Linked DNA regions of Lonchura striata. The protein of the gene in region 1 purifies or fractionates together with the protein of each later gene. This does not show direct contact. Links are inferred from orthologs where the notes say so. Each region holds a gene or a part of one and is shown in the gene's direction. Other genes may lie near its edges. The genes, in order: HNRNPA1, MOV10, RPS3 and heterogeneous nuclear ribonucleoprotein M.

What was found.
Region 2: the proteins of HNRNPA1 (region 1) and MOV10 purify together in Homo sapiens (affinity purification with mass spectrometry; 3 studies listed by BioGRID and IntAct, counting the BioPlex papers as one, with this or other methods). This does not show direct contact. The link is inferred for Lonchura striata from reciprocal best matches to the Homo sapiens genes HNRNPA1 and MOV10.
Region 3: the proteins of HNRNPA1 (region 1) and RPS3 fractionate together in Homo sapiens (co-fractionation; 3 studies listed by BioGRID and IntAct, with this or other methods). This does not show direct contact. The link is inferred for Lonchura striata from reciprocal best matches to the Homo sapiens genes HNRNPA1 and RPS3.
Region 4: the proteins of HNRNPA1 (region 1) and heterogeneous nuclear ribonucleoprotein M purify together in Homo sapiens (affinity purification with mass spectrometry; 6 studies listed by BioGRID and IntAct, with this or other methods). This does not show direct contact. The link is inferred for Lonchura striata from reciprocal best matches to the Homo sapiens genes HNRNPA1 and HNRNPM.

The regions. Positions count from the first base shown.
Region 1 is NC_134629.1:8,441,121-8,448,072, forward strand, and holds the start of HNRNPA1 (heterogeneous nuclear ribonucleoprotein A1), read left to right. Parts: upstream 1-3,942; 5' UTR 3,943-4,027; coding exon 4,028-4,042; intron 4,043-5,855; coding exon 5,856-5,972; intron 5,973-6,952. Other genes in the region: CBX5 (chromobox protein homolog 5), read right to left, coding at 1-29, 482-618. UniProt on the Homo sapiens protein: Involved in the packaging of pre-mRNA into hnRNP particles, transport of poly(A) mRNA from the nucleus to the cytoplasm and modulation of splice site selection.
Region 2 is NC_134632.1:5,823,047-5,830,209, forward strand, and holds the start of MOV10 (helicase MOV-10), read left to right. Parts: upstream 1-4,154; 5' UTR 4,155-4,162; coding exon 4,163-4,335; intron 4,336-5,014; coding exon 5,015-5,108; intron 5,109-5,203; coding exon 5,204-5,337; intron 5,338-5,419; coding exon 5,420-5,658; intron 5,659-5,740; coding exon 5,741-5,981; intron 5,982-6,166; coding exon 6,167-6,289; intron 6,290-6,377; coding exon 6,378-6,531; intron 6,532-6,619; coding exon 6,620-6,774; intron 6,775-6,894; coding exon 6,895-7,071; intron 7,072-7,152; coding exon 7,153-7,163. Other genes in the region: CAPZA1 (F-actin-capping protein subunit alpha-1), read left to right, coding at 1,094-1,156, 1,749-1,889.
Region 3 is NC_134604.1:18,070,820-18,078,630, reverse strand, and holds the start of RPS3 (small ribosomal subunit protein uS3), read left to right. Parts: upstream 1-4,799; 5' UTR 4,800-4,859; coding exon 4,860-4,889; intron 4,890-5,660; coding exon 5,661-5,791; intron 5,792-5,898; coding exon 5,899-5,992; intron 5,993-6,756; coding exon 6,757-6,851; intron 6,852-7,120; exon of another isoform or gene 7,121-7,267; intron 7,268-7,381; coding exon 7,382-7,569; intron 7,570-7,811. UniProt on the Homo sapiens protein: Component of the small ribosomal subunit. The ribosome is a large ribonucleoprotein complex responsible for the synthesis of proteins in the cell. Has endonuclease activity and plays a role in repair of damaged DNA.
Region 4 is NC_134630.1:6,568,430-6,576,412, forward strand, and holds the start of heterogeneous nuclear ribonucleoprotein M, read left to right. Parts: upstream 1-4,975; 5' UTR 4,976-5,228; intron 5,229-5,329; 5' UTR 5,330-5,345; coding exon 5,346-5,423; intron 5,424-6,254; coding exon 6,255-6,449; intron 6,450-6,766; coding exon 6,767-6,920; intron 6,921-7,840; coding exon 7,841-7,890; intron 7,891-7,983. Other genes in the region: heterogeneous nuclear ribonucleoprotein M-like, read left to right, coding at 4,412-4,476. UniProt on the Homo sapiens protein: Pre-mRNA binding protein in vivo, binds avidly to poly(G) and poly(U) RNA homopolymers in vitro. Involved in splicing.

The DNA.
Region 1 (6,952 bases):
TCTTCTCGGGCTCCCACGTGTTGTGCTCCCTGGGGACACCCAGGGGACAGGGGACATGGTCAGGGGACATGGCAGGGGACACCCAGGGACACCGTCAGGGGACACAGCAGGGGACAGGGGACAGGGTCAGGGGACACCCAGGGACACAGTCTGGGGACAGGGGACACGGCAGGGGACACCCAAGGATACCCAGGGACACCGTCAGGGCACGGGGGACATGGCAGGGGACAGGGGACACTGTCAGGGGACATGGCAGGGGACAGGGGACATGGTCAGGGGACACCCAGGGACACGGTCAGGGGACAGGGGACACCCAGGGGATACCCAGCGACACCCAGGGTACAGGGGACACCAAGGGGACATGGTCAGGGGACAGGGGATACCCGGGGACACCCAGGGACACAGAGGGGACACGGTCAGGGGACACCCAGGGTGTTGTGTCCCCTGTCCCTGCTGTGTCCCTGCTGTCCCCGTCACTCACTCGGAGAAGCCCTTCCACTTGAGCAGGTACTCGGCCTGGCCCCTCACCACGCGCCGGTCCAGCACCTTCTCCACCACATACTCCTCCTCCTCCCCCGAGGACGAGCTGTCGGCGGCCCGGCGGCTCCTCCTGCCCATAGCGCAGCCACCGCTCTGGGGACAGGGACAGGGACAGTGACAGGAGTGTCACCGTGGCTCAGGGAATGTCACCGTGGGACGTGGCACTGCCCTGCTCCTCCTGCCCATGGCGCAGCCACCGCTCTGGGGACAGGGACAGTGACAGGAGTGTCACCATGGCTCAGGGAATGTCACCATGGGACGTGGCACTGCCCTGCTCCTCCTGCCCATGGCACAGCCACCGCTCTGGGGACAGGGACAGGGACAGTGACAGGAGTGTCACCATGGCTCAGGGAATGTCACCATGGGACGTGGCACTGCCCTGCTCCTCCTGCCCATGGCACAGCCACCGCTCTGGGGACAGGGACAGGGGACAGTGTCACCATGAGTGTCACCATGGCTCAGGGAATGTCACCATGGGACGTGGCACTGCTCCGGCAGCTCCTCCTGCCCATAGCGCAGCCACCGCTCTGGGGACAGGGACAGGGACAGTGACAGGAGTGTCACCATGGGTCAGGGAATGTCACCGTGGGACGTGGCACTGCCCTGCTCCTCCTGCCCATAGCGCAGCCACCGCTCTGGGGACAGGGACAGTGTCACCATGAGTGTCACCATGGGTCAGGGAATGTCACCATGGGACGTGGCACTGCTCCGGCAGCTCCTCCTGCCCATGGCGCAGCCACCGCTCTGGGGACAGGGACAGGGACAGTGACAGGAGTGTCACCGTGGCTCAGGGAATGTCACCGTGGGACGTGACACTGCCCTGCTCCTCCTGCCCATAGCGCAGCCACCGCTCTGGGGACAGGGACAGTGTCACCATGAGTGTCACCATGGGACGTGGCACTGCTCCGGCGGCTCCTCCTGCCCATGGCGCAGCCACCGCTCTGGGGACAGGGACAGTGTCACCATGGGTCAGGGAATGTCACCATGGGACGTGGCACTGCCCTGCTCCTCCTGCCCATGGCGCAGCCACCGCTCTGGGGACAGGGACAGGGACAGGAGTGTCACCATGGGTCAGAGAGTGTCACCATGGGTCAGGGAATGTCACCGTGGGACGTGGCACTGCCCTGCTCCTCCTGCCCATAGCGCAGCCACCGCTCTGGGGACAGGGACAGGGATGTCACCAGGGCACAGGGATTGTCACCATGGGTCAGGGAATGTCACACAGGGCCCCTCCTGCCACTGCTCTGGGGGCACGGATAGGAATGTCACCAGATTTGGGGACACCTGGGGATCCCCAGGAGGGATTTCGGGACATCCTGGGGATCCCCAAAAGGGATTTGGGGTAATTTTGGGATCCCTAAGAGGGATCTGGGATCATTTTGGATCCCACAAAAGGGATTTGGGATCATTTTGGGAGCCCCAAGAGGGATCTGAGGTCATTTCGGGATCCCCAAGAGGGATTTGGGATAATTTTGGGTCCCACAAAAGGGATTTGGGGTAATCCCCAAGAGGGATTTAAATTATTTTGGGATCCCCAAGAGTGATTTGGGGTTCCTTTGGGACCCCAAAAGAAATTTGGGGTAATTTTGGGATCCCCAAGAGGGATTTGGGATAATTTAGGGACGCCCAAAAGGGATCTGGGGTAATTTTGGGATCCCCAAAAGGGATCTGGGGTAATTTTGGGATCCCCAAGAGGGATCTGGGGTCACCTCAGGATCCTCAAAGTGAGACCCCAAGGGGGAGGCACAGGAGGGGCTGATTCCTAAAAACCCAGCGGGGATTTAGGCACAAAGAAACGTGATTTGGGCTAAAATCTCCTAAAAAAAAAAACAACGCAAAACCCAGAGAATTCAGGCAGAGCGAAACGGAATTTGGAATAAATCCCCAAAAACTGAAGGGGGATTTGGGAGCAGAGAAATGGAATTTGGGCTAAACCCCTTAAAAATCAAGATTAAAAAAAAGAAAAAAAAAAAAAAAGACGCTTTAAAAGCCCTCAAATCTGTTTTTTCTCCCCCCTTAGGGCAGGATTTGAGCGGATTTCTCCCTTTACACACAGCCCGAGGGGAATCCCTCGCTCCCGGCCGGAATTTCCTGCCGGGCTCCCGGCGGGGTTCCGGGCGGGCTCCTGAGGGAGAAGGCGCCGCTTTGGGTGGGAAAAGGCCAATTTTGGGAAAATCCGCGCCCGGGAATGCTGCGGGAACAAAGGGAGGGCGGCACGCGGAGGCCCGGGAGCGCCTGGCCGGGGCCGAGGCCGCGGCTGTGAGGGGAAAGCCGCCGCTGCGGGGCGGGGCGCGACGCCCCGAGGGCCCAGGCCGCGGTTTTGGGGTGAAAAGCCGCAGATTTGGGCTCGGAGCGCCCCGAGCTGAGGGGCCCGGCCGCCGGGCCTGGGGGCGGGGCCAGCAGCGCGCCGCCGCACGCCATTGGTCAGAGCCGCCGCGCGCCGCGCCCTGATTGGCAGCGCGCCCCACCGCGCGCCGCGGCCCCGCCGCGCGACTATTGGGCGGCGGAACCGTCACTCCGAGCGCCGCCCCGCCTGCCCTGCGCCGCTATAGGTCAGCGCGCCTGTCACTCGGCTCGCCGCCCCGCCTCCCGCTCGCTGCTATTCAACACCGCGCCCGCCACTCCCCGCGAGGCCCCGCCTCCCGCCCGCACCCATTGGCCGCCGCGCCTGCCCGTCACGGCGGCGGGCCCGCCCCCGCGCTGCCGCCCGTCCATCCGCCGCCCGCCGCCGGCGCTACCTGCGCGGAGAGCGGCTCCGGCGCGGGCCCGTCCGCCGCGGTCTGGCCGCCCCTCCGAGCCGCCGCCGCTCCGCGCTCCGCCCGCCAAAACCGCCCGCAGCGCGCAGGCGCCGCCGGCGGCGCTCCGCGCATGCGTCCGCCCGCCTTTTCCCCCCCCTCTCCCCAAAGCCCACCGCGATGGGCGCATGCGCTGCCGCGGCCGCACCTTGGGGCCGGCGGGCGGGCGGCCTCTGCTCGCCGCCGCCGCCGGGAGTCGCCGCCGCCTCCCCGCTCTGCGCCCGCCGCGCCGCGCTCGCCGAGCTGCGCTGGGCCCGCCGCCGCCGGCGCTGATGGACGGCCGCGCCCGCCAATGGGCACCGTCCCCCCGCTCTCCCAGCCAATGAGCGCCTGGCGAGGGGCGGGCCCTGTTTCTTTCCAACCAACCAGCGGCGCGCCGGGGAGTCTCCGGGCCGGAGCGGGAAAAGCCACGCGGGGCGTGTCGGCAGCGCTTCTCCCCAATCCCCGCGGCGCAGGGGCGGGACGTTTCGGCGCGCAGCCAATCAGCGGCGGCGCGGGGGGCGGAGCGCGGCGAGGCGGCCAATGGGGCGGCGGCGTTGTGAGGCGGCAGCCAATGGGCGGCGGCGCGGGGGCCGCGCGGGCGGCGGGGGCGGCGGGGTGAGGCGGCGGCGCTCGCGGCGCTCGGCCCCTTTCCGTGTCGGCCCTCGCAGAGGGAGCATCGCGCGCCGCCGCCACCGCCCCGCGCCGCCGCCATGGCCAAGGCCGAGGTCAGCAGCGGCGCCCGCCCCGCTCCCCGCCGATCCGCGCGCCCCGTTGTTTGTTTTTTTTTTTTTTTTTTTTGTTGTTTTTTTTTTTAACCCATCCCCGTTCCCTCCCCCCCGCCCCCGCCGCCGCCGCCGCCGCCTGGCGGGCCGCGGGACCTCACTGCGCCTGCGCGCGGCGCCCCCCCCTCATCCCCTCAGCCGCGCAGGCGCCATTGTGTGTGGGGGGGGTCACACACAGAGCCCCCCCTCCCCTCCCCCTTCCCCTCCCCCTTCCCCTCCCCTCCCCCCTCAGGTTCCATTTTTGGGGGGGGTCCCACAGAGCCCCTCCCCCCCCCCCCCCAAGGTCCATTTTCGGGGGGGGGTCCCACAGATTTCGCCCCCCTCAGGCGCATGCGCGACCCCCCCTCACCCCGCGCGCGCTCCCGCGGCCACGTGCGCGCGCTTTGTGTCACGGGGGGGGGGGGTCTCAGGAATAACGGGGGGGGGAAAGAAGGGGATGGGGGGGTGTTGGAATTTGGGCTTGAAATTAAAGCTGGGGGGGTGGGGGAGTTGGAGTTTAGGGTTGGGGGGGGCAAAATTAGGGGAGGGGGGTCAGGAATAGGGGCTGGGGGCGCTGAGGGGGCTGAGGGTGCTGGTAGGCCCCAAAATTTGGGGTTGGGGGTGTTGGAATTTGGGGTGTGGGGCCTTTGTGGGGTTTAATATTAAAACTGGGGGGGTGGGGGGTCGGAATAGGGCTGGGGGCCCTGAAGGGGCTGGGGGCGGTGAGGGGGCTGGTAGGCCCCAAAAATGGGGGTTGAGGGAGAGATTTGGGGGCCTGGAGTTGGGATTTTGGGGTTGGGGGTGTTGGAATTGGGGATGTGGGGGCTTGGGGGGGTTTAAAATGAAAGCTGGGGGGTTTGGGGGGGTGGGGGGTCAGAAATAGGGGCTGGCGGCGGTGAGGGTGATGGTAGGCCCAAAAAATGGAGGTTGGGGGAGAGATTTGGGGGCCTGGGACATTGAGAAATTTGGGTTGGGGGGGTTTGGGGGTCTGGTGGCCCCCCCAGATGGGAACTGGGGATGCTCAAGGTTCAGGTGGCCCCAAAAATTGGGGATGGGGGAGGTCAGGGAGGGTCCCCAGGGGGCTGGGGGGGGATTTGTTGGGGGTGGGTTTGGGGTGTCAGGAGCTGCTTGGGAGGGGAGGGTCCCAGTTGGGTTTTTTTGGGGTCCCAGGGGCGATTTGGGGGTGTCAGGATCTCTCTGGAGCTTTGGGGGGACATTTTGGGGTGTGAGGGGGAGTTCAGGAGGGATTTTGGGATGGGACGGGGGTCCCAAGAGGGATTTTGGGGTGTGAGGAGCACTGGAGGGGTCCCATTAGGGATTTTGGGTTGTCAGTCCCCCCGGGAGCTGGGTGAGGGGGTTTTGAGGGGGTTTTGGGGTTCCCCAGCCTCCCCAGAGCTGGGTGAGGAGGTTTTGGGGGTCCTCATCCCCCAACAGGAACTGTGTGAGGGGGTTTCGGGGTGTCAGGCCCCTGTGAGCTGAGTGTGGGGGTTTTGGGGGTGTTTTAGGGGGGATTTTTGGGGTGTTTTAAGGGGTGTTTTAAGGAGTGTTTTAGGGAAGGTTTAGGGGGTGTTTTAGGGGGGATTTTTGGGGTGTTGTAAGGGGTGTTTTGGGGGTGTTTTAGGGGGAGTTTTAGGGGGGATTTGGGAGTGTTTTAAGGGGTGTTTTAGGGGAGGTTTAGGGGGTGTTTTAGGGGGGATTTTGGGGGTGTTTAGGGGGTATTTGGGCTTCCCACCCCCTCCGTGGGGTTCCGGGGTGCCCTGAGCCCGTCCCCCCGCAGTCCCCGAAGGAGCCGGAGCAGCTCCGGAAGCTTTTCATCGGGGGCCTGAGCTTCGAGACCACGGACGAGAGCCTGCGCAGCCACTTCGAGCAGTGGGGCACGCTCACCGACTGCGTGGTGAGGGGCAGGGGGCCTGAAATGGGGCTGGGGGCCCTGGAAACGGCACTGACTGCAGGAAAAACGGGGCTGGGGGCCCTGAAATGGGGCTGCGGGCCCTGGAAACGGCACTGACAGCAGGAAAAACGGGGCTGGGGGCCGTCTGAAATGGGGCTGGGGGCCTGAAATGGGGCTGGGGGCCCTGGAAACGGCACTGAGAGCAGGAAAATGGGGCTGGGGGCCCTGGAAACGGCACTGAGAGCAGGAAAATGGGGCTGGGGGCCCTGGAAATGGCACTGAGAGCAGGAAAAACAGGGCTGGGGGCCGTCTGAAATGGGGCTGGGGGCCTGAAATGGGGCTGGGGGCCCTGGAAACAGCACTGAGAGCTGGAAAATGGGGCTGGGGGCCCTGGAAACGGCACTGAGAGCAAAAAAATGGGGCTGGGGGCCTCTGAAATGGTGCTGGGGGCCCTGGAAACAGCACTGAGAACAGGAAAATGGGGCTGGGGGCCTCTGAAATGGGGCTGGGGGCCCTGAAATGGGGCTGGGGGCCCTGGAAACGGCACTGAGAGCAGGAAAAACAGGGCTGGGGTCCCCAAAAATGGAGCTGAGGTCCCTGAAATGGGACTGAGATCTCCTGGAGTAGAGCTGGGGTCACTAAAAGGGCACTGTGATCCCTAAAACCAGCCCTGGGATCCCTGAAAATGGCCCTGAGACCCTTAAAAACGTCATGGGATCCCTAAAAATGGAGCTGGGATGACAAAAATGGCCCTGGGATCCTCAAATCCCTCCCTGGGGTCCCTGAAATCAGCCCTGGGACCCCAAAACCAGCCCTGGAGCACCAAAACCAACCCTGGGGCACCAAAACTGACCTGGGACCTTTAAAATCAGCCCTGGGACCCCAAAACCAGCCCTGGGGCACCAAAACTGATCTGGGACCTTTAAAATCAGCCCTGGGACCCCAAAACCAGCCCTGGGGCACCAAAACCGACCTGGGACCTT
Region 2 (7,163 bases), on another chromosome or scaffold:
GACTGCATTCTCTTGATTTTAAAGTAATTTTAGAGTGAACAGTCAATATTGTGTTTATAGAGTCAGGTAGGAATTCCAGATTCACAATTGCTTAAAATTCAGTCATATTAGAAAGTCTCTATTGGAAAGCTTCTCTTGGAAGCTAGGGTTAAAAAGGACAGAATATGCTTTTCTATTTTGCACAAGGGAAAGAAACAGTAAGTGTTGGGGAAAATGAAATAGGAAAGCCTTATAAATATGACTGCCTGGCAAAAGATTTAGAAAATACAGAGATTGAGATGGTAACAAGTTTTGAGATACCAAACCTTAGTTACCAAACAACTAGAAAACAATAGTACAGCCAGGATGAAGGCAATCCCCCCTTCTGCTTGAACAATGCCCTTACCTAGAGGTAGGTCCAAGGGTCAGATGAACTGTTGGATCTCACCCCAATGTGTGGCTCATCCCACACCTGTAACCCTCCCCTGAAGCATCAGGAGTCTGTGACCCCATTGGCCGAAGTCTTGTTCCAGCCCACCTTGAACCCCCTGACAAGGAGTCCCTGAGGAGCCAGACACTCTCTTGGAACTTCTGTTCTCTTGGAATTGCCCCTCTCCTGGAACATCCTCTCCCTCTTGGGATCCTCTCTTATCTCCCCCTACCCCTTGCCTCTCCCTTCCCCCACTCCCTAGGGTCTGCCACAGGTCACATCTGGTGACTCCAAGCAGGGCCTCTCACCCTTTCTAATAAACCAGATATTCTAAGAGCAGCCTTCAGAGATCTCTCGTCTCCGTCCACCCAAACCGTCCTGGAGTCCAGCATCCTCACAAGTAAGAGAGATCTGCCAGTATGGTAGGGGACGCAGCAGCTGCAAAGTGACTCATTTTACATGAAGGTCCAGTTCCTTTTTGCTCACTAGGGTGCAGCTCTGTTCCAGTTTGGAATACAAGCTCTGGCCAGTATGTAGTAAGTGAAGGGAACCCAGACAGCCTCAAGGCACAAGCTGCTGATATTACCTACTTTATCTATACTTACCCTATCATTTGAGAAGAAATCTGTTGTGTAGCTTATGTAAATTGCTCTTAAACATGCAACTTTTTTTTTTCCTTTGCAGAGTGATGTCCAAACTGCTAAGGATTTTATTAAGATCATAGAAAATGCAGAGAACGAGTATCAGGTAAGATCAGTGGTAGTTAAATAGAACAGAATCGTATCAGTCTCCATTTGCAGTTAATGGAAAAATGGAAAACTGACCTCTAATTCTGTTCCTGGCTGAATCTGGTATTGCCTGTAAGAATTACTTAGAAAAGGACAGCAGTATTTGTTTAAAAAAATAGAGTTATAAAGCTGTAAAGTTATAAAGCTGTGTTGTAATTTGCTATCAGGTTTGCTGTATGGTTTTTTTAAAGGGTTACAAATGATACCTGGAACATGCATGGGAGGGGAGTGGGTGTGTCAATCTAGTTTCCTCTGTGACAGTTAAAAATTCTGAGGAGGAAACTTGTGCAACAGCTTTTACATTGTCCCAGCCTCTGTGCAAGGAGACTGGAAAGAGGTAAGTCAGTGAAAGACCTAAGGAGGTGCTGCTACAATACAGGAGAGGTGAATAGAAAGCCTTTGACTTGTATACACACTAATGACTGCATTATTAATTTAGTTAATCGTGTGCATTACACCTTACAGAAGGGAGTTTGTGGCTTTAACACACCAAGTTGAGCTTTCTCATAGTGTTTCATGTGTGCCCTAACCAAATCTGCTTGCCCTTGCAGACAGCAATCAGTGAAAATTACCAGACTATGTCAGACACCACCTTCAAAGCCTTACGCCGGCAGCTGCCCGTCACCCGCACCAAGATTGACTGGAACAAAATCCTCAGCTACAAGATTGGCAAAGAAATGCAGAATGCTTAATGCAGAAAGAAGGAGGTGTATGAAAAATTCATGTGCAAAAAAACAAATATGGTCCTATGCCAAGTAGATGGTTTTTAAACCAGAGAAGATTTTTTAGGGCTTTCAAAGTTAACAGGTTTTCTAGCCTGAAAGGGAACCGTGGAACAAATAGTTGTCTTTGTGTTTTGTGTTTCCTGCCACATAAACTTCCTGTTGTAGCTGCATTTAATAGGTCATTTAAATTCAGCCATTCATGGCTCAGAAATATAGCTGTTTTCAGTCACTGGCTGGAAAACTTCCTAGCTGGAAAAGCCCTATTATTACCCCACGAGAGGGTGCAGAGCGTTTCCTTCACCGGTATCCAGCACTCCAGGTATCCAGTAAGTCTGTTAAACCTGCCAAGAGCTCATGGCGCTGCAAGACAAAGTAAGTGCAAGACAGTGAGTTCTCGTGTGTTCTTATTCCCAGCCTCCACAAAGCAGATGCCTGCAGGCTTAGATTTTGCTGTAGAAAATGAGTTTACAGGATCCTTTACAGAATTCCCTACTGACCCAGCTCTTCCAGGGACGTAACTTTTTTTTAATCTGAAGATTTGAGCCATGTTCTCTAAAAGTGAACATCTTTCTTCTCCCCTCCCTCGTGTATGTACGGTTACCAGACATCTGCATTTTTACAGAACTGCAAGATAAGTCACTGCTGATTCACAAGGGCTGGATGGTGACTAAAAATGCAAATGTCTACAAAATAATAGGTATGTTGTGCTTTAATGCTTTGTGGCAGGTTCATAGATTTGTATCACAGGTGTATGGATGGATAGTGTACAAAATAAATAAACTTGCACCAAAGTGAAATTAAAAATCTTTTCCATTTGTCTCAGTTGTGGACAGTTTCTTGTCATGCTTAGAGGGGATTTCGGAATGAATCTGTTCTGTGTGCTTGCTCTGCATTACTGTTTTCCCCCTCTAACATCAAAATTAGCAGTCATAACAGTTTCTCTGGAGGGGAGGACGAAGAGATAGGCATACGCCTTTCTCAGATCTTGGAACATAGATTCACTACAAAGTGAACTCCCTTTGCTTTGTTTGCACTTGGTTATCACTGGGCGCCTTACAGATTCTGTTTTTTAAAGTGGCTCATGTTTTCTTGTTTTTAAATACACAAAGGAAAAACGGTTGGGAAGATTGGGACGGAGTTGTCTGTGAGTTACACTTTAGGTTTTGCACAGTAACACCACAAAATAAGTTTTTATCCTTTGTGAGTTTTATCTAATTAAAATATATTTGTATTTGCTGCTCAGACTGACAATTCACCCCTCAGGCATGCTCTGTATCAATAAGTCTAGTGCAAATACACCAGTCTTTGTTTAAAGCCATTTGTGTCTGTTCTTTCATGGTCTCACTCTTGTTAATTCCTGAAGTCTGGGAAGTGTTGGCATCGCCATCCCTGGAAGTGTTCAAAAATGTGAATGTGGCACTTGAGGACCTGGTTTAGTGGTGAACACGGTGGTGCTGGGTTGATGGTTGGTTTTCAATGATTTCAAAGTTTTTTTCCAACCTTAACAGTTCCGTTATTAAGGCAGGGATGGTATCACTCCAAACCCATGGGTGGTGCTCCCGTCCTAGTATACAGACACAGGACCTGGAGGGCTGAGCTTCCAAACTAAAATAGAAACTATCACAGAGCTTTAATGCAGCTCCTCACCCTGGAAAAAAGGCAGCAAGGAGGTTATTCCACTTACCCTCGGTGTCTTTCTTTAACACCTACTTCATACACTCCAGGTTGTATCCTACATGGGACAAAGCAGGGCTTTTTGGAGGGTTTGCACAGGGCAGACCCATGGACAGTTCAAGAGGCAGCACCCAGGAGAGATGAAAGGTTGTGTGAGCCTCAGGTGCTGTGGGCTGCGGCCCTGGACGCATCCAGGAAATCGCTGTAGTAATTCCAAGAATGTGAAGCCGAAGCAGGGCCCAAGATAAGACTCTGCACACAGCACAGCTTTTATCTGCCTCAAGGCTAGTCTGTCTGCTCCTTGGTTACACTGGAAGCACTCCACCGCCAGCGTTCCAGCCTTAGGAGCGTTTCTATCTCTTTGTCCTTCTCCAAATCTTCAGGTAATCATCCTTCAGACCGACTGGTTCCCCTCTCCCCCTCCAGCCCTCTGAGCCCCGCTGCCGGCCCCCGGTGCGCCCGGGCCAGGTGGGCGGGTCCCGGCTTCTTTTGCTTTCGTTCTCCCTGTGCGACCCAGCCCAGCCCAGCCCAGACCGGTCCAGTCCGGGTCAACCGGGCACTGCTGGATGCGGTACCGGCGCGGCGCGGCGCGGCGCGGCTCAACCATGCCGCGGTGCAGCGTGGCGGAGGGCAGCCTTTGGGGGAATCAGTTCGTGCAGTTCCTGCAGGACACGGGCCGGGAGCAGAGGAGCCTGCGGGAAACGCTGCGGACCATCTACAACCAGGAGTTCCGGGCCAGGTGAGAGCCCTCGGCCAGATCCGGGCGACATCACCTGGGACAGATCCCAGGCCAGCATCCCCAGTGCCTGGCCAGCATCACCGGGGTCTCCAAGCTCGTCTGTCTCACCAAACCCTGCTGGGATGATCCCCAGCTCCGTGGGCCCCCAGCAACTGCCTAGGGATGGCCTTGGACACCCCCTGCCCACCCCGACCTCACCTTGCTGGCACCAATCACACTGGCCCTTATGCACTGTCACCACTGTGACATTGCACGATCATTGGCAAAGCCAGGGCTCAGTGCACTGGTAGGACTGGGAGGAGGAACCTGGGGAGTCAGTGCTGGGAGAACAGTGGCTGTGCCTTAGCAGAGCCACCACCTGTGCCAGCTCAACTGCATGGACAGAGACTGCATGGCTGTCAGGCCAGGCAGTGGGACAGCTGGGATGGCTGTGGCATAGCTGAGACAACAATGGCACAGCTCGGACTTGCTGGAGCAGCCAGCAGGGATGTGAGGTTTGCACAGGCCAGTGGGAAGCCCAAGTCCTTCTTCCTCTCCTGGAGCAGAGGGGACTTGCTGAGAACTCCCTCACTGCAGCCTCGGTGTCCTACTTCATCTTCTCACTTGCCTCACCTTGGGTTTCTGTGCCCATGGCAGCCAAGCCACACTCCCACAGAAACCCTGTCCCTTGTCTCCACAGGACTGATGCAAAGACACCCAGATTTTCCTGCATCTTGTACGCACTGAAGACAACCCAGCAGATTCAGGTGCATGGAGAGGTGGTGAAATTCAAGGTGAGTTCATGCTGGGGCAGTGCCCACCAGGACTGGCTCCTCAGGAGCCCCCTGCAGAATCCTGGGGCCACGCTGGGTCTGGCTGCTCCTTGCAGGTGAAAAGGCGCCTGGTGGTGGCAGACCAGTACCGACGAACCAGAAGGAATGCACAGACATCCGTGTCCACGTCTGCCTCAGGACAGCAGCTCAGCTCCACTCCACAAATGCCCGAGAGCCATGGCAAGCAGTGGTATGACCAGCACCACCCCACCGTGGCATGTCCCTTGGATCCCCCAGCCCAGCTGGGAAAGCCTGACCCTCCCTCCCCACAGGGCCAAGCGCATTCGTGAGAAGCACGGGGTGGAGATCACCTCAGACTGTGACCAGGGCAACGGGAATATCCGCTTCCCAGTGGTGCCGGGTGAGCCCCGGACAGTCACCATCCTGGTGCAGAACTGTGGAAGCGAGGTGGTGACCCTGCAGCGGTTCCAGCTACACAAGCAGTCACGGGAGCTGTCCTTCACCGATGAGCAGGGGGCAGTGCAGGGCCAGTCCCTGCTGTTACACCCAGGTAGGGCCCCTTCCCATCCCCTTCCCCGTGCCCTGCCCTGCAGAGAGGATGCAGGACCCAATCTCACCACTTCACCCCGCAGGTGGGATGTACCCCATCCAGGTGCGGTGCCTCACCACCTGCAACGGGCACTTCAGTGCTCTGGTGGTCTTCGAGTTCACCAAGGAACCAGGCGAGTCCTTCAGCATCTCACGCTATGTTGCTGCCATTGCTGAGAGCCAGCTGGCCAAGGACCTGGGGCCCTCGGCACCTTTCCAGCCTTACGAGGCCAGCCTCCAAAGCTTTGTCACAGTCATCACTGAGGATGGCATCCCCCCTGACAGGTATGTGATGAAGTCACATGCTGCCATCCCGAGCAGAGGGGCCCAGGCTGTTCTTCAGCCAGGACAAGGTTCGCTCCTTGACTGTCTGGCACCACAGGATCGTGCTTCAACCCTGTGCAGTGACAGTGACACTGGGGCTGGGGGCACTATGTAGTCCCTGAAGCACAACTGTACCCTCCACACAGCTCCCTGAAAAATGAACTGGAGACGGAAATCCCTCTGGGTACCTACAGGTACCCAAAGAGCCTCAAGGACATGATCCTGCTCGGACCCAACACCAGTGCCAGCTCCAGCTGGGCTGCCTTGTGGTGAGTGCCAAGGGCAGAGAGCAATGCTGAGGTGTTCCTTGAGTGCCAAGCTGCCCCTGAGACACAATGACATTGCTGCTGCCCTCAGCTCGCTGCTGGAAGCACCTCTGCAGGCTGAGAACTACCAGCAGAAATTCCAGCTGCTGCTGTACCTGGAGGAGATTCAGATGGAGGTGGACATCCGACGCTACGACATGCGGGATGTGACCATGGTGCAGGAGAGAGCTCTGCTGGTTCTCGATGTGCGTAGGGGGCTGAGGGATAGGAGGGGTGCTGGCACAACACTGGCACTCCCAGAGTGCCTGGCATCACACTGGTCCTTTGGCACAGGTGCCTGGCGTGGCCGAGAACCGCCCGTCCCTGCTGAGAGGGGACCACCTCTTTGCCCACCTGAGCAGCAAGCGGGACCACTCCCCACTCGTCCGGTATAAGGGCTACGTGCACAGCGTGGAACTGGAGAAGGTCAGGCTGGGTTTCTCCTCCAAGTGAGTGATGTCTGGTCCCAGCAGCCTTTCTCACAGATGCCAAAGGCCAGGAGTGGGTTGGAAAGGGCTAGGAGGGCATGAGAGAGTGCCCCGTGCCATGCTCACACCATTCCTTCCCAGGCTGCAGAAGAAGTTTGTGAAAAACCTGAAGTTCGATGTGACCTTCACCTTCAACCGGCTGCCACTGCAGGTGCAGCACCGGGCTGCAGTCCTGGCCGTGCGCCGTGGCTTGTTCAGCCTCCTCTTCCCCTCCACCTCCTGCCACAAGTCCCTCTTCTCGGGCCCCTTCCAGCCCCGGTGAGTGCCCAGTTCTGCAGGGAGGGAGGGCCTGGAGGTGGAGGCGGTGGGGCCCCGGCAGTGCAGCCTCTGCTCCCACAGGTGGTTTAACC
Region 3 (7,811 bases), on another chromosome or scaffold:
TGGAATGATCTCTGCCAGCAGCCTCTCGGTTCATTAAATACTTATGAGCCAAGGATTCCCAGCTAAACAGCACACTGAGCATCCTTACACCATCTCCTGTTTTTAAAAGGTATCTAAATTGTTTAATAATCTGCTTGAAGTCCTTAAAGTGAATCTGGGCAGCAAAGCAAAATCCTGTTTAGTGGGGCAGATGCCCAAAGGAAGGTGTCTGAGTGATGGAGCTGTTTGGGAACAGCCACTGAAACACTGCCAACAATTTATCAGATGTGTTGGAGGTGACAGGCTGGGATTACAGTCTAGTTGGCTGCTGGATCAGACCTTCCTGACTGTTGGAACTCCAAATGTCTCTCAGACATTTTTAGAGGTTCCAGGCCTTGGTCAGAAGCATTTTAGACCCTGGCAGGCAGCTGGAAACAGCTGTGATTTTGAGTTTGAGCCATGGAATGAGTTACCAACTTTGGAGGTGGAACAAGCAGTCACAAAAGGTTAGATAGCAGAGTAAAAGTAGTTACAAAACAGAGGGAAATTTTTTTTACTATTGTACAGAGGGGGTTTTAACACTTGTACAGGGGGGGTTTTACTTTGTACATGGAGGTCAGAAGTTCTAAGATGGAGAAAAGTGGGCTGATCCTGTTCTTCTGCCTTCTTCTTCCTTGCCTCCATGTTCTTGGTGATGTTCTTGGCACTCACAGATTTGTTCAGAGTAGAAAAGCACTTTGTAATATAGGTAGTAGGTATTGGGGGAAAAGTATAAACATGTAATACGTAATATATCATATAAAAGATAGCAGCAGCCCTGGGCAAGGGGAGAGAAGAAGAAGACAGCAGACAGAGAGGATGTCAGGGTGTGTGTGTGCCTCTGCCTGGGCTGCTGACCAAACAGCCGCAGCCTGAGAAGACAATCTTTTAGATAACCCACAAGAAACTGCCTTGAGACCGAACAACAGGAGGCTGTGGAGTTTTCCTTTGGAAGCACGGGTTGGAGGAGAAATTTCACCACCACATGGGACTCCAGAGTAAGCCTGGGGCTCCCACACCTGAGTGCTGCAATTTCTGAGTTAAATCCAGACCATGTACAGAGCACAGCTTCTGTTTTGCCCAACTGGCGGTTGGTTCTCAAGCTTTGATGTATTCTCAGAGGTGTAAATTCTCATGGAGGGTCACACACACCTTTCCAGAGCAGTTATTCATCCTTAGTTTGGAGCTGAGCTGGTGCTGCCCAAGTTTCAATCCCACTCTTCCAGCTGCAGGGAAGGAGATGGGATTGGGGCAGCTGAGAACTGTCTCTGCCTGGAAACATGGTGCCTTCTTCCATCCCTGTCCTGCAGGATCCTGCCATCTTCCCCTGCCTCCAGAAGGTTTGCTGGACTTATTCCCCGTGTTCTTGCCAAGCTAAAAACAGTAAACCCTGCTAGGTGTGAAATGTTTACAAAAGGCCTATGAATGTGGTCCTGACTCCCTGTCCTCCCAGCCCTGTTCCCTCCATCTCTCCCCACTCTGGAGAGCTGCTCCATGTGGGAAGGCAGAAGACATTTCTCAGGAAGATTTCCAGAGGTGCCAGGAAGTGGTGAGGAACTCAGTGAGGGGTTTATACAGCTTGGGCAGTAGCAGCTGCTCCAACTGCAGCAGTAAATTCTAATACAGCGTCTCCTGCAGTAAAATTCCTGTCTGAGTTAGACTTTACAAATGCTTTACAAGTGGTGCTTGCAATTCATCTTATCTCTGCTGGAATTACCTCCCAGGACCCATCTCCATTCATTTATTGCAAACTATCTCATCTTGTCCATCTCTAGCCCAGGTTTCATTTTCCACTGCTATTCCCTGGGAAAATTCATGAGCTCTGCAGTGCCTCTGATGGTCGTAGGGAAGGTGGTTTGGAAGGATTTCTGTCCTAGGCTGCTGGTTCCTGCACTGAAATGCAGAGGTGTAGGTTGGGGCCCAGCTGTCCAAATCACCCTGGAGCAACAGGAAATCATAAGGAACAGGCTCCTGCAAGGGAAATTCCCGAAATCCTCAGGCATATCCAGAGAGGCGATAGGGCCTGGCATGAGCAGGAAGCCAGTGTGTCACCCCAAATCCTGCAGGTGTCTGAGCTGGAGGGACCACAGCAGGAATGGTAGACCCTGTCCTTCTGCCCGTACTAGTTTGTGTTTTTGATGAGCCCAAGGCTGTTCCCTGATCCTCCTGCAGAGTCAGCACAGTCCCCGGCAGGATCTCCCTTATTTTGGGAGCAGCAATGGCAGTCGGGGACTTTCCCAGGCAGGACACTCTCTCCCAGTGCCACCTTTTGTCACTGCCCGCAGAAAGCAGAGGGTATCCCAAAATACAGCGTGCCGTAAGGCTGGGAAAGCTGGCCTGGCCGTTTCCCTGCTAAGCCTGCCAGCCCCTCCTGCCTGCTCTGAACAGGAGCCAGTTTCCCGGGGAGCAGGGGCTGGGATGCTGCATTCACTGAGCCCTGCAATGGCCCTCAGCTGCCATCAACCATGTCACTGCCTGGCCAGTGAATGGAGCTGGGGGGAGGCAGGACAGCTCCCGATTCCCAAACCTGCTCCAAGCCACGTCCCCCACAGCGAGGAAACCTGGCAGCACCTGCCAGGCCCTTCCATAGGCACAGGGGGCTCCTGCTGCTGCCAGGTGCCACATCTGGAGTGACATCCTTCCTGTGCAGCCCTGGTTCTGCTGCTGCACAGTCCAAGGGAAGATCCGAGTGCTGCTGCTGGAGCAGGGGCTGCAGCCCAGGGTTTAGTGCCAGCTGGGATGTGCCCAGAGCCAGGAAGGGTCATGGCTGGAGAAACCCAAAAGTTTTTTCCATTCCCTGGATGTCCTTTGGGGACAAAAGGAGCTCCTGTGCCAATGATGAGACTCCACAAGGAAGTGGGGAATGGGGAAAAGCAGGGGTGCAGTCCTCGAGGGTGGGGACCCAGAAAGCTGGGTCTGTCACTCACCATGGCATTTATGGATAATCCCAGGCCTGCTGCAAATCCAAGCCACTGCTGGGCCTGGGAAGACACTGGGACCTGCTGGACCACGCCTGAGCTCTCTGTGGGCATGTCACAGCTTTTTTGGGCTGTTGCCAGCCTCCATTTCAGCAGGGATGGAACAAGAGTGAATTCACAGAATCAGGGAATGGCTCAGGTTGGAAGGGACCTTTAAAGGTCATCTAATCCAGCCCTCCTGCAGTGAGCAGGGACATCCCCAGCTAGCCCAGAATCCATTCCCAGCACCTGGGAGCTGGCTGGGGCTGCAGCCAGAGATGGCTGATGCTGAGGGAGGAATCCCATACCAGTATTTGGGGAAGGTACTGAAATGTCCCTGGCTGTGAAGGCCACAGTTTGGAGCCCCCAGGTCACATCTAGGGGGACAGGGGACATTTCCTTGGTGCCAAGCACCACCCAGGCCCTGCTTTGTGCCTGGCTTCAGCCCTGGGTGCTGCCCCTGAAATGCTGACACAACACAGGGTTTGTCCTTAATAGGCCATGGAAAAGGGGACACATGACAGGGTCGCGTTTTTTGCTTTTGTTGTGCCTTTTGCTGTCTTTATATGACCAGAAATATATTGTGTGAGCCCCTCCTGTGTAAACTCAGCCTAAAAAAATAGATGATCTTGGGCAGATATTTTCTGCTCTGAAAATATGGTGGTCCCGTGTTGGAAAACAGCAGAGTGGGGTTTGTGCAGCTTGGCAAGGTCTTCCCTAGAAAATTACTTGAGACCCCAGTTCATAAGGCTCAAACCCCTGCACAGAGACACCCCCAGCTGCTGTACATTTCTCCAGAGTCTGATGTTCTGTGGGACAAAGGACCTCGGGCGCAGGGGGAGCAGGGGGAGCTGGTTCAGGGAAGGGCAGGATGGGTGGGCACACCAGAAGCGACACAAAGGTGTCTGGTGACAGAGGGGACACAATCGCTCGCCGCCACCGCCACCTGCCTTCGCCGAGCGCAGCGTGGGATGCTCTGCCATGCCTCCGGTGCTGGATAAATGAATCCCTGGGGAAGAGGCTTTTCTCAGCCTGGAATCCGCCTGCACTGACATCTAGCGGTAATCCAGGCTTTTCCCTGGCCGAGAGCAGAGTGGGATCCTCTGCCCTGCTGCTCCTGCTGGTGTTCCTGCTGCGCTCTGGGCATTTTCACAGCATCACTGAGGCTGGAAAAGGCCCTTAAGATCATCATGTCCATCTGCAAAACATATTAACATCCCCCGGTTCCTAGAGGCCGTGCATCAACTCTGCCCATTATTGTTGTTATTTCTGCAGTCCCCTACAATCCCTAAACCATTAAAAAACAATGTGTTGTGGCAGGGCAAGGGGAATGGCTCCCGACTGCCAGAGGGCTGGGCTAGATGAGATTTTGGGAAGGAATTGTTCCCTGGGAGGGTGGGCAGGCCCTGGCACAGGGTGGCCAGTGCAGCTGTAGCTGTCCCTGGATCCCTGGAAGTGTCCAAGGCCAAGCTGGACACCGGGGCTTGGAGCAATGCAAAGTGTCTCTGCCTATGGCAGGGGTGGATCGGGATTAGCTTTAAAGTCACTTCCCAACCAAGCCATGCTGTGATTCCTGGATAACAGCAGAGCACCCTCTGACAGCAACGCCTGGGCAGGGCAGGTCTCCAGGTATAAGCCCAGGATGAATTACCGTACACCTGTTTTATTTTACGCACTGCTGACTCTCCGTGCCCGTTGAACTCAGCTCTAGGCCGTACGCATGGCTCAGGCCTCCCCAACATGGCGGCGTGGCAAAGACTACATCTCCCATCGGGCCCCGCTCTCCCCGCCGTGCCAGCGGCGAGCCAATGGGGCGCGGCGGAAGGCGGATATAGCACCGCCTGCGGGACCCGCTCCTTCCTTTCCGCCGGGCCGCGGCTCATCATGGCGGTGCAGATCTCCAAGAAGCGCAAGGTGAGCGCGGCCGCACGGCTCCTCCGCGGCCGCGGGGCGCTGCCGCACCGCCCGCGGCGGCCTCAGCGGCCGGCAGGACGGGGCCACGGCGGGCGGCGGCGGCGGACGGGGGAGGATGGCGGCGGATGCGGCGCGGGGCCCAGCGGGGAACATGGCGGCGGGATGGAGCGGGCGCTTCCCCGCGGCCGCGCGTGGAGGTGCGGAGCGGCGCTGGGGGCCGGGAATTGTGGGGTTTCCTTTTGCTTTCCCCTGCGAAGGGTTTGCGGCTGGTGGCTGCCCCGCTCTGTGGGCCGGGAGGGCACCGGGCGCTGCCTGTCCTGGGGAGCGAGGGAGGTTTGGGGCTGTCAGGAGTCCCAGCAGCAGGGAAAGGGATGCGACCCCGCTAATTATTTCCCTTAAATTGCTCCCGAATTGCAGCAGAAAGCCGTGATCCCAGCGTGAGCAGTGGCTGTGGTTCAGGCAGTGTCTGGAGTGGATTATTCCTGACAAATTCAGGGAAGGGGTTTCCATTTTTCCCCGCTACTGTACCCAGGGTTGGGCAGTGCACGGTGCTGGTCAAGTCAAGGTTGTGGGTTCAGTCCCTGGGCTGTCCATGTAAAAGTTGGACTAGGTGTTCCTTGTGGGTCCCTTCCAACTGAGAGTATTCTGTGATTTTTTTCAGAGGAGAAGAAAGTTGTCAGGAGAGACTGTCAGGCTGCAGGAGGAATTAGGGTGAATTGCACTCAGGTTCAGAATGTGACAAGACCTTGTCTTTGTGGATTTGTATTTTAGTTTGTCGCTGATGGCATCTTCAAAGCGGAGCTGAACGAGTTCCTGACTCGGGAGCTGGCTGAGGATGGATACTCCGGAGTGGAGGTCCGGGTCACTCCAACCAGGACTGAGATTATCATCCTTGCTACCAGGTAACTCAGCCTTCCTGAGCTGGGATGCTCTGAAAGCTCTTTGGGGTGGCTCCAGTCTCACTCCTGGGGACACTTTTCTCATTTGTCCTGTGCTTATTTTCCCGCAGAACTCAGAATGTCCTGGGAGAGAAGGGACGCCGGATCCGGGAGCTGACAGCTGTGGTGCAGAAGAGGTTTGGATTCCCCGAGGGAAGCGTGGAGGTAAAACTGCCTCAGGAACTGGGTGGTGCAGATGGATTTGTGGTGGCAGCATGGTGTCAACTGAAAGGTGGTTTCAGGATAAGTTGGGCCTTCTGTTACTTGGCCTCAGAAATGCTCCTGCACTGAAATACAAAATAAATTACAAAGAAACTGCTCTGCTGCAGAAGGATCTTTGAGAAACAGAAGGTAAAGTGGCACAGCAGTTTTTTTTGATCCTTAATGTTAGGGGGGTTTTCCCAGGGGAGGGTTGGACTAGGGTCCTTTAAAGGGTCCACACAACCCAAAGGATTCTGTAGTTCTGTTCTGTGAAATCTGCTCCTGTTACTTGTTCCTTGCTCTGAGACAAATCAGGGAGGGAGGGGGAATGTGTGTGCTGGGGTGGTGTTCATTTATTCCAGCTTGGTCAGTGCTGCTGGATCACGTTAGACAAGGAAGGGAGTGTAGGATAAAGCTGCTGCCTGTAAATGTGGAAGGATTAACTAGACTGAATGTAGGGAGGAGAGTAAAATGAAACTCCTGTGTTCTGCTGAAGTAAAAGTTACATTTACGGTGAGGCTGGTGAGGAAGTGCCACAGGGTGCCCAGTGAGGCTGTGGCTATCCCTGGAATTATTCAAGGCCAGCTTGGAACAACCTGGTCAAGTGGAAAGTGTCCCTGCCCATGGCAGGGATGGAACTGGATGAGCCTTCCAAGCCACAGCATGCTGTGGTTGTGTGATGGACTTGGAAAAGAGCCCTGTTGTGAATGTGCCTCTCTGCTCTGCAGCTCTACGCTGAGAAGGTGGCCACAAGAGGTCTGTGTGCTATCGCCCAGGCCGAGTCCCTGCGCTACAAGCTCCTGGGAGGGCTGGCTGTGCGCAGGTAAGTACAGCAGCCTGCCATGGGGGAGGTGTGGGACTCCAGCACCATGCCCAAGAAACAGCTTCTCTGCAGTTTGAGGATTTAACCTGCACTGAAACTTCTGTTCAGTCCACAGTTACCTCTGGACTGGTCTGTCTGGTTGCAGTTTGTGGGGCATAAAACTACATGTGTTGCTTTGGGTATAAGTGGGTGGAGGAGTGAAGCAAACAGCATTTCAGGCCTTGTGGCTGTGCTGTGGCTCAGGTGGCAGTGGCCCTGCTCTCACATCCCCTCGGTGATGAGACGATGACGAGTCAGAAGCGGGTGGCTCTGGTGGCAGTGCCTCCGTGGTGTCACGTTCTGTGGTGCTTCGTGAGGTCCTCCAGTAGCAGCCTCCTGTCATCAGTGAATGATCTAGAGGCATTTGTCTGAGAAGGGATGGGAGCTGCACTGCTAACACATGAAACTGAGGTTGGAATTGTGATAGAATTCCTCTGGAAGCCCTGTGGGTCTGGCAGAGCGGGCTCATGGCTTGGCTGTCCTCCCTGCAGAGCCTGCTACGGTGTCCTCCGCTTCATCATGGAGAGCGGGGCCAAGGGCTGTGAGGTCGTTGTGTCCGGCAAACTCCGAGGTCAGCGGGCCAAATCCATGAAGTTTGTGGATGGCTTGATGATCCACAGTGGGGACCCAGTGAATTACTACGTGGACACAGCCGTGCGTCACGTCCTACTCCGGCAGGGTGAGTGCCTGGCGTGCAGATCCCTTTGCAGCTTTGTCAGGTTCCTTCTCTAGAGCTGCAGAAACAAAAAAAAATATCAGCTCCTGGCATCCTGTTCTGCAGGTTGGAGATTTCCCACTGGCAGCACGGTTTTAATGCACTTCCGATCTCACAGAGTAGTTTAGTTGTGCTGCTGTGGATGGTTCAGGCTCTGAAAACCCTGTTTTCCTGGGCTTTTGCAACTGAACTCTCGCTGTGGGATT
Region 4 (7,983 bases), on another chromosome or scaffold:
TCAGCCAGGATAGTGGGCAGTGGTCATTGTGCTGGAGCTGGGCAAGGACTGGCAGTTCAGGCGTTTGAGGTGTGGCCTAAAGAAGGGGAAAACAAAGTTCCAGAGGGTTTCAATTGTTTGTCTTTGGAGGCAAAAGGGAATGAATCTGTGGAACAGACTGGGAGCTTCCCAAATTAGGGGCTGTTTGAGAGCCAGCAGTGGTTTTGTGCCATGGCAACAGTGTCAGCCTCAAGGGCTGCTTGAGCAGGCCCTGATGATGGACGGAGCCCTCACTGCCCCGTGGCTGCCCCAGATCCGTTGGTGTTCCGGGTGAGGAGATGTCCAGCTCTGTGCTGTGTTGAATCCCGTTCCCAGTGTCTGGTGGTTTCTCTCCAGTTCCCGTGGATGGCAGAGGCCAGGCTGAGATTGTTTCCTGCCGGGCTGTTCAGCTGCTCATTCCAGCAGATGCTCCTAGGGGAACGTTGGAGCCTTTTCCTTCTGGCTGCAGGGCTTGTCCTGCTCAAACTGGGATCATTCCTGGGGTTTGGCACTGCTGATGAACCCAACAGTTTGGACTTGCCGTGGAGTTGTTCTGGACTTCTCCCAAACTGCTGCTCTCGTGCTGTGCTCGGCCTTGCTCAGTCCTTGCCTCGAGGCAGAGCAGTTCCAAGCCCCAGGAAAACTCCGACCCGTTGGAATGCTTGCTTCGGAAGCGTAAGAACGCCAGGCCAAACGTCCCAGGCTCTGGGAGCAGGTGGAATTCTTGCCCAAGGGGAAACCCTGGGTGTGTGAGGGCTCTGCAGGGCTGGGCCCCGTGCAGAAGGGGCTGTAGCAGCAGCAGGAGCTCGGGGAGGTGCCGTGTGTGCAGCAGCTGCTGCTGTTCTGCAGCCTGGGAGCGGCCAGGCTGCTCCAGGTGCCACCTCTCTCTCTCTCCTCACGCCGTGGCTCGGGCATCCCAGTGGATTGGTTGGAGAAACTCAATTACAGGTATGCAGTGGGAATGTTGGTAATGGAATGAAGAGATGTTCTTGTTTGGAACTCCCTCGTTTTGCTGGCAGACACAAGGTGTTAGCTCACTGCAGAGTCCCCAGGATTTGGTCACAGTGTGGAGTTCTGGGGAGTCAGGGAGGGAGGGATGGGGAAGGAATGTGCTGTCCTGCCCTTGGCCTGTTCCCCCTTCCGTTTGCTGAAGTCTCTGATGAGTTGCTCTGTTTCCCTTGGGCATTCACCATCTTTCCAAGGAATCTCAGCCCTTCCCTGGCTGCAGGGAGCTTTTCACTCCCTCTGCTGCCTGAGCTCTTTAAGAGCCTAAATCACCACTTTGGGTGTTCTCTTGCAAAAGGGAAGTTTCCTTTCCCCATCTGTGACAGAACTGCTGACTGCTGTCTCTGCTTTGGGAAGGTTTTCCTTCTGCCTTTTCAGCCAAAGCTTTGCATGTGTAAAACTTGCTCCTCTTCTCTCCCCTCTTAACTTTTCAGGGGTTGCCTGTCCCAAGCTTTTACCTGTAAATGAGGGAAGAACTGTGGCCAGCTCTGCTTTGCCTCACACTGCGAGTGTGAAGCTTTTTAATCTTCTTGGATCACTTGTTCTTCAGAAGATGAGGAGACATCCAGCCACTTTGGGGTTTTCCTTCCATATTTAGTATTTACTTTTGGCCCTGGAGGCCAAGGAATAACTGCTACAGAGCATTTCCCTTGTCCCAGTTCTGTGCTTGCTCCCCCTTCCCTCTCTGCATCTTTCACACCTCTCAGAGCTCTTTGGTTTGTCACAAACTGTTAAAATCAAATTGCCCAACCTAAAGTTGTTATTTCTGTCTGAGCTTGTTCTGGGGAGTTCCCAGATGTGTCTTCAGGGCCTCAGGTCACCCTGTGAATACTGATCTGAGCTTCCTGTTCAGACCCTGCAGAGTATTGGAATTCTGCTGGAGCAGCCCAGCTTGAACATTGACATTTTCTGTACTGATAAACTTTGGGAAGTGATACAAAGTTTTAAAGAGGATTAAAAATAATGACTGTTATAAATAACACTGAAGCTTCCTTCAGTTTGGATTTCTGGTTATTGCAGTAAATTCTGCTCCAGTCTCTTGGTTTGGGAAAAGCTGCATTTTCAAACTTTAGGTGTGAGGTTTCAATAAATCCATAAATCAGTTTCCTCTACATTAAGTCTTAAAGACACCATGGGGAATGTGTTGATTAATTAAACCTGCAGTGACTAGGAGCCAGTGTTTTTTGGACATTTCCTCCCTTAGGAAACTCCTGAAGTAACAGTTTTTGTGCTTGGATGAAGTTTCTCCACTTGTGGCCATGGGATGTTCCCTGACAGAATCCAGCTGTTCTCTGGCAGAAGGGAATCTTGCCAGGATCACTGGGCATTTATCCTGGTCTAGCACATGGATATCTGCTCCTGGTACTTTTCCATGGCATCCTGTGGTTTGGGATCTAGAAAAAAACTCCAAAACTCCAAATAAAATGTGATCCAGCCTAGCTTCTTAAAAAAATATTTCCTTTGCCAGTCACAGACGATGTTCTCCTGGCAGAAGGGTTGGGTTGGCTCCTTTTACACAGTTTAAGGTGAAATGAATGCATTTTCATGGCAGTGTTTCTGGGCTCTGTCTTGGCTCAGAGCTGTTGCACTGAGTGTGTCATTCCCCTCTCCTGCTGTTCTGAAACCGGGCTCTTCAGGAAGTTCAGATCTCCTTTAAAGCATAGCAGCTACTTCAGGCTGGATATTTGGATTTTCATGTGTCTGTAAGGCTCCAGCAGAAAGCTCTGAGCAAAATTGGCACAGACTCAACTTCCCAAGAGATTCCTGGAGATCTTGTGGTTCAGAGTCGGGGATTGGTTACAAGAGCAGATGCTCAATTGTACTGGATATCCTCAAGCTTGGCAAGCTCCTTTGGGAGCTGTTTGTGAGGAGCTGTAGGTGAAGTGGCTGGGAGAGGAGAGCCCTCGCTCCGGGGGCTCTGCAGCTTCAGGGAATGCCAGACCTGGAAGCTTTGGCTCGGAGAGGTTTTGGAGTGGAGCTCACCTGGGAAGAACTGGTGAATCTGTTTGCATCCCTGCCCCAGGTGTGCTTGGACTCTGGCTGCTGCTGTTTGAGCTGGATGGCGTCAGAACCTCATGGCAGCGCTGAATCCCCCCCGGGACTCCTTGGGAACAATCCCATGTGTGCTGCAGGAGCTCAAAGGGATTACAGGCTGGAATTCCTTGTTAGGCTTGATACCAACATGGATGGAGCTGCTGGAGCTGTGGATGATAATGGACACTCCAGTGGAGTCCCTTTCAGAGGGACTTGGCAGCCTTTTCCAGCCTCAAACATTATCCTTCCAAAAGCAGGAGTGGATCAGAGCTGTTCATCCTGTTCTCTGGCTGGAATACTCTTACTGCTAAAGTATTGTTTAAAATAAGAAATGGAGATTACAAATCAGTGGTTTTGTTAAGCATTCCTTTTTTTTTTCCAGCTTCAAGAGAGCTCCAGGGTGTCAGTTTTCCACAGTGATACCCAGTGTCCTGTAAATTGCTGGGCCTGGGGGAGGTCAGGCTGGACACCTCCCTCTGTCCCTGGCAGAATATTATGAAGCCCCACTTCCTTGCTCCAGTTAAACTATTCATACTCAACTGGCTCATGGTTTCCCACAAATAAAACATTCCACTGTCCAGATAATGCAGCTTGGTGTCCTCCTAGTTTAAATTTAAACCCTAGGACTTGTAAAACCAAAAAGGAAAAATAAAAAGGGAAAAAAAAAGGTGTTGATTCCATTCTTCTGTATGCCAGTCCCTTCAAAGGCAGCAGCCATTTGGGTAGTGGTTTTCTGGAAGTCCCTGCCAGGGTTATTTGGTCCTAGAGAGGCAGTCCCAATCCTGTGAGGAAAGGGGCAGGTGGAGTTTTCCATTGTCTTTTGCCTTTTGCTGTTGACAATTTTGACTTGAGAGCAAATGTAGCAGATTTTAATGCTAAAATAGAATTTATTGTAACTTAACAAAAACATGTTAAAATAAATAGCAGGCAGTGATCTCTTGATCTGTTGGTTCAGTGTGATTCCTTTTTTGTCTTAAATCCTGAGAAAAAAAAGTTACTTGAAATTGTGGATTATGGAGCCAGGGCTGCATCCTGTGGCAACTGAAGGAAACTTGTTCCTGCAGCCTTTCCCATGGGTTTGGATTGCCTCAGGTAACGAGTGGGCACTGGAGATCCAGGGAACTGTGGAAATCTCTGGCTTTGAGGTGGAGGAAAACCAAGAACATATCGAAGTGCTTGAAGCCTTTACTGCATACCTGTAATTGTCCAGTTTTGTGGTCTAGAGAACATGGAGTGTTTCTGGGCTTTCTTATAAGGCAGAGGCTCCATACACGGTTGTTGATTGTTCTAAATTCCCATTGTTTTCTTGGCTTTTCTCCCTTGGTATCTGTGTCGTCTGGAATCTGATTTGTAGTTGGTGAGGTAACATACGTGGAGCTCTTAATGGACGCTGAAGGAAAGTCAAGGGTAAGTGTTTGAGAGTTTCTTTGTGGATTTTCTACCTGAAATGTTTCTGTGTGCTGGACAGAAGGCCAGGGAGGCTCAGAGTGTGGATGTGCAGTGGCTCTAGGTCAGGAGTGCTGTGGGATGGGAGGAGGTGGGGTGGGCTCTGCAATCAGGAGCTGTTCCCTGCGTGCCGTTGGCGTTGGCCGTGTGACCCTGGAGCCCAGCAGGCAGGACAGGGCTCTGGAATATTCCTGTGCTTTGGAAAAGTCACTCGAGTGGTTGGCTGAGTTTGGAAGGGCCAGGGTGCAACAGCAGGTGCTGCAAACTCCACGTCCTGGGCCAGCAGAGCGAGATAAATTCCTAAATGTAAATGTTCAGTGCCTTCATGGGCCTTGAGTCCAGGATCAGGGAAGACAATAGGAGCACTCCTAAGTGTCCTGAAGGATATGGATTTAGGGTGAGAGTGTGGAGGGTTTTGCTGTATGCCAGGGAAGAGCAGGTCACAGGAAGCGTGTGGTATTTCTTGGAGAGTCGGGATTTAGTGTTTGTTACAACCTCAGAGACCCCAGGTTAATCCTGTTAAGGCATAAGAAATTATGGAATTCCACTATTGGAGGCTTGCCTGTGTAAGGTTACATTTATTTTTGCTGCTAGGGCTTAACTGATGTGATTTGGCTTTAATAATAAAATATCTGTGTGTGATTTGAGCTATCACTGACTTTCTTTTTTCCCCTCTTCCCTCCTCCATGTGACTGCCCTGGGAAATCATCTCACCAGGGATGCGCGTAAGTTCACTCTGAATTTTTCAAGTTCAATCTGATTTCATCAGGAATCTGAGGAGACTTCTTCAAACAAAACGTCCTGAGCTGTGTTTGTGTCCCCACAGGGTGGTTGAGTTCAAGATGGAGGAGAGCATGAAAAAGGCTGCTGAAGTTCTGAACAAGCACAGTCTTGGTGGGAGACCCCTGAAAGTAAAAGAAGTAAGGAGGGGATCTGTTCTGGCAGGGATAGAGGGGGAAGCAGGAGTTCCTGTTTAAGGTTTAGGGCTGACTCAGAGGATAATGGGCAGAAAGCAGGACTTAAATAGGATAAAAAAACCCAGTCAACCTTTTTCTGATAGTTTTAACCACTGCTGGACTTGTGATTATCAAGACTAAACTTGATGTGAGGACAAAGCAGGAGTTTGGCTTTAATTGCAGTTCCTTTGTTAATGATTTGACACAGAAACCTCTGTTTGTTCTTTACAAACTTCCCTTTGAATTCTGCATCAGAATGAATGGATTCCGCCAACAATTCCATAGAATCAGCTCTTTCCTGGAATCCATCAAAGATGTATTTCCATTTTAGTGGCCTTGCTGTTGACAGACAGTCCTGGGAGTTCATTCCAAGACCTCTCCAGTGGCACTGGGGGTTTATTAGGGTTTGGAACAGTGTAACAGAGGTTTGTTGTTGGTATTAATGATGGATAAACAACTTGGTAACCAGGGAAATGCCTGGAGAGGAATAACTTATTATTAAAGGGTATCAATAATAAAGGTATCATTTAAATGATAGTGTGCTGGGTGTTGGCTAAAATAACATAAATTGACTGACAATGAAAGGGAAGCAGTTGGCTGGGAGTGCTTAGGGAGCAGATGCCCTGGGATAAAGGGAAACTCCTGTCTGTGCCTGTGGGAGCCCTGGCACTGCCCGTGGTGGATGTGGGATCTGATCTGAGGGTGTGTGTGTGTCCCCCAGGACCCCGACGGGGAGCATGTGGTGGATGTGGGTGGATGTGGGATCTGATCTGAGGGTGTGTGTGTGTCCCCCAGGACCCCGACGGGGAGCACGCCAGGAGGGCCATGCAGAAGGTGATGGCAGCAGGAGGGATGGGCATCGGGCCCGGCCCTGGCGGCCCTGGCATGATCAACATCCCCCCCAGCATCCTGAACAACCCCAATATCCCCAACGAGATCATCCACGCCCTGCAGGCCGGCCGCCTCGGCAGCACCGTCTTCGTGGCCAACGTGAGTGCTGGGCACCCCCTGCTGCAAATCCAGCAGTGGGAACCTCTCAGCTGGGGCAAATCTCAGGAAGGAAAAGCCTTGGGAATTCGGGAAAAGCTCCTCTGTGTCCTGTTGATTCTCTGTGCAAAGGAGGTTCTCAGTTAAGTTGTACCACAGTGCCTGTTAATGGGGATTTTTGAACAAAACTTCGTATTTTGGTTGAATTTTATCTCGGCTCTCTGACAACTTTAATGCCAATACCAGAGGAGGACAGGAGCCAACTAAAGCTGTTTTCTCATGAAAATCTCATGCATTTCCAACAATGCCCTGTTTTCCAGCTGGACTACAAGGTGGGCTGGAAGAAGCTGAAGGAGGTGTTCAGCATGGCTGGGGTGGTGGTCCGGGCCGACATTCTGGAGGACAAGGACGGCAAGAGCCGGGGCATCGGCACTGTCACCTTCGAGCAGGCCATCGAGGCCGTGCAGGCCATCTGTATCCTTGGCAGCAAACTGGGAATAATGGGGCAGAGAGCCCAGGAAACGCAGCAGGGCAGAGTGGGAACTGTATTCCAAAGGAGGATATTGTATCCAGGGCAGGGGAGGTCAAGTTGTAGCAGATGGAAAATGGAAGGAAAAGCAAAACAGAGGCAAAATTCCATCTTGAAGGAATTGTTGCAGTTTGCTCAGGATCCTTAGCAAAGGAAATTCTCTTTCCTACGTGGATAAATGTACTTCAATCCGAGATGAGTTTCTGTCTCTAGGTTGCAATTAATATTAAAATGCAATTCTCTGAAAAGGAAAAAGTCCCTGTGCCAAGGCACACGGAATTGGTATTTTCCTGTTCCTGTTTCCTTCCACTGGCCAAGCAATGATTTGCCACCTAGAAACCCAACAGCAATAAAATTCCAGGTATTACTCTCTCAACTCCTGGTTATGGTATGGAAAGGAGGAAAATAAACCCTCTTCCTTTCCCAAAGTTTCTATTTGTTAATTCCCTTCTGCACTGCATCCACAAAACCTTGTGGGAGCAGAGTTGGGCAGAAGATTCACTGTCATGGCACACTTCAGAATATGGTGTTGCTGTGGAGCTTTTCTCTGTTTTGTCCTGTCTTCAATGGATAAAATGACTGAGGAAGCATTTAAACACTTGGGCTGACTTAGAGTTATGGTTTGTATCTCTTTCTGAACTTAATCTTACCCAGAAATATGTTTTTTATCTTTTTTTTTTTATTTTAAAAAGCCTTTTTTTTAATGTTCAGTATTTTTAGATTTCAAGGCATTTTAGTTTTGGAGAAGGCAGAAGGATTTGGGATAATCTGTGAGTAATAACTGAGGAGATGGATTTTCTGAGGGGTTTTTGTGCTCCCTGTGAGAGCACTCAGTGCTTGAAGAATGATCCTTAACGACCCCCAGCGATGTTCAATGGGCAGCTGCTCTTTGACAGACCCATGCACGTCAAAATGGTGAGGACACTCCCATTCCCCATTCCCACTGACCTGGGAATGCACTGCTGATTTGGGGAGAATTTGTGGTTTCAAGGATGGATCAAAACTCAG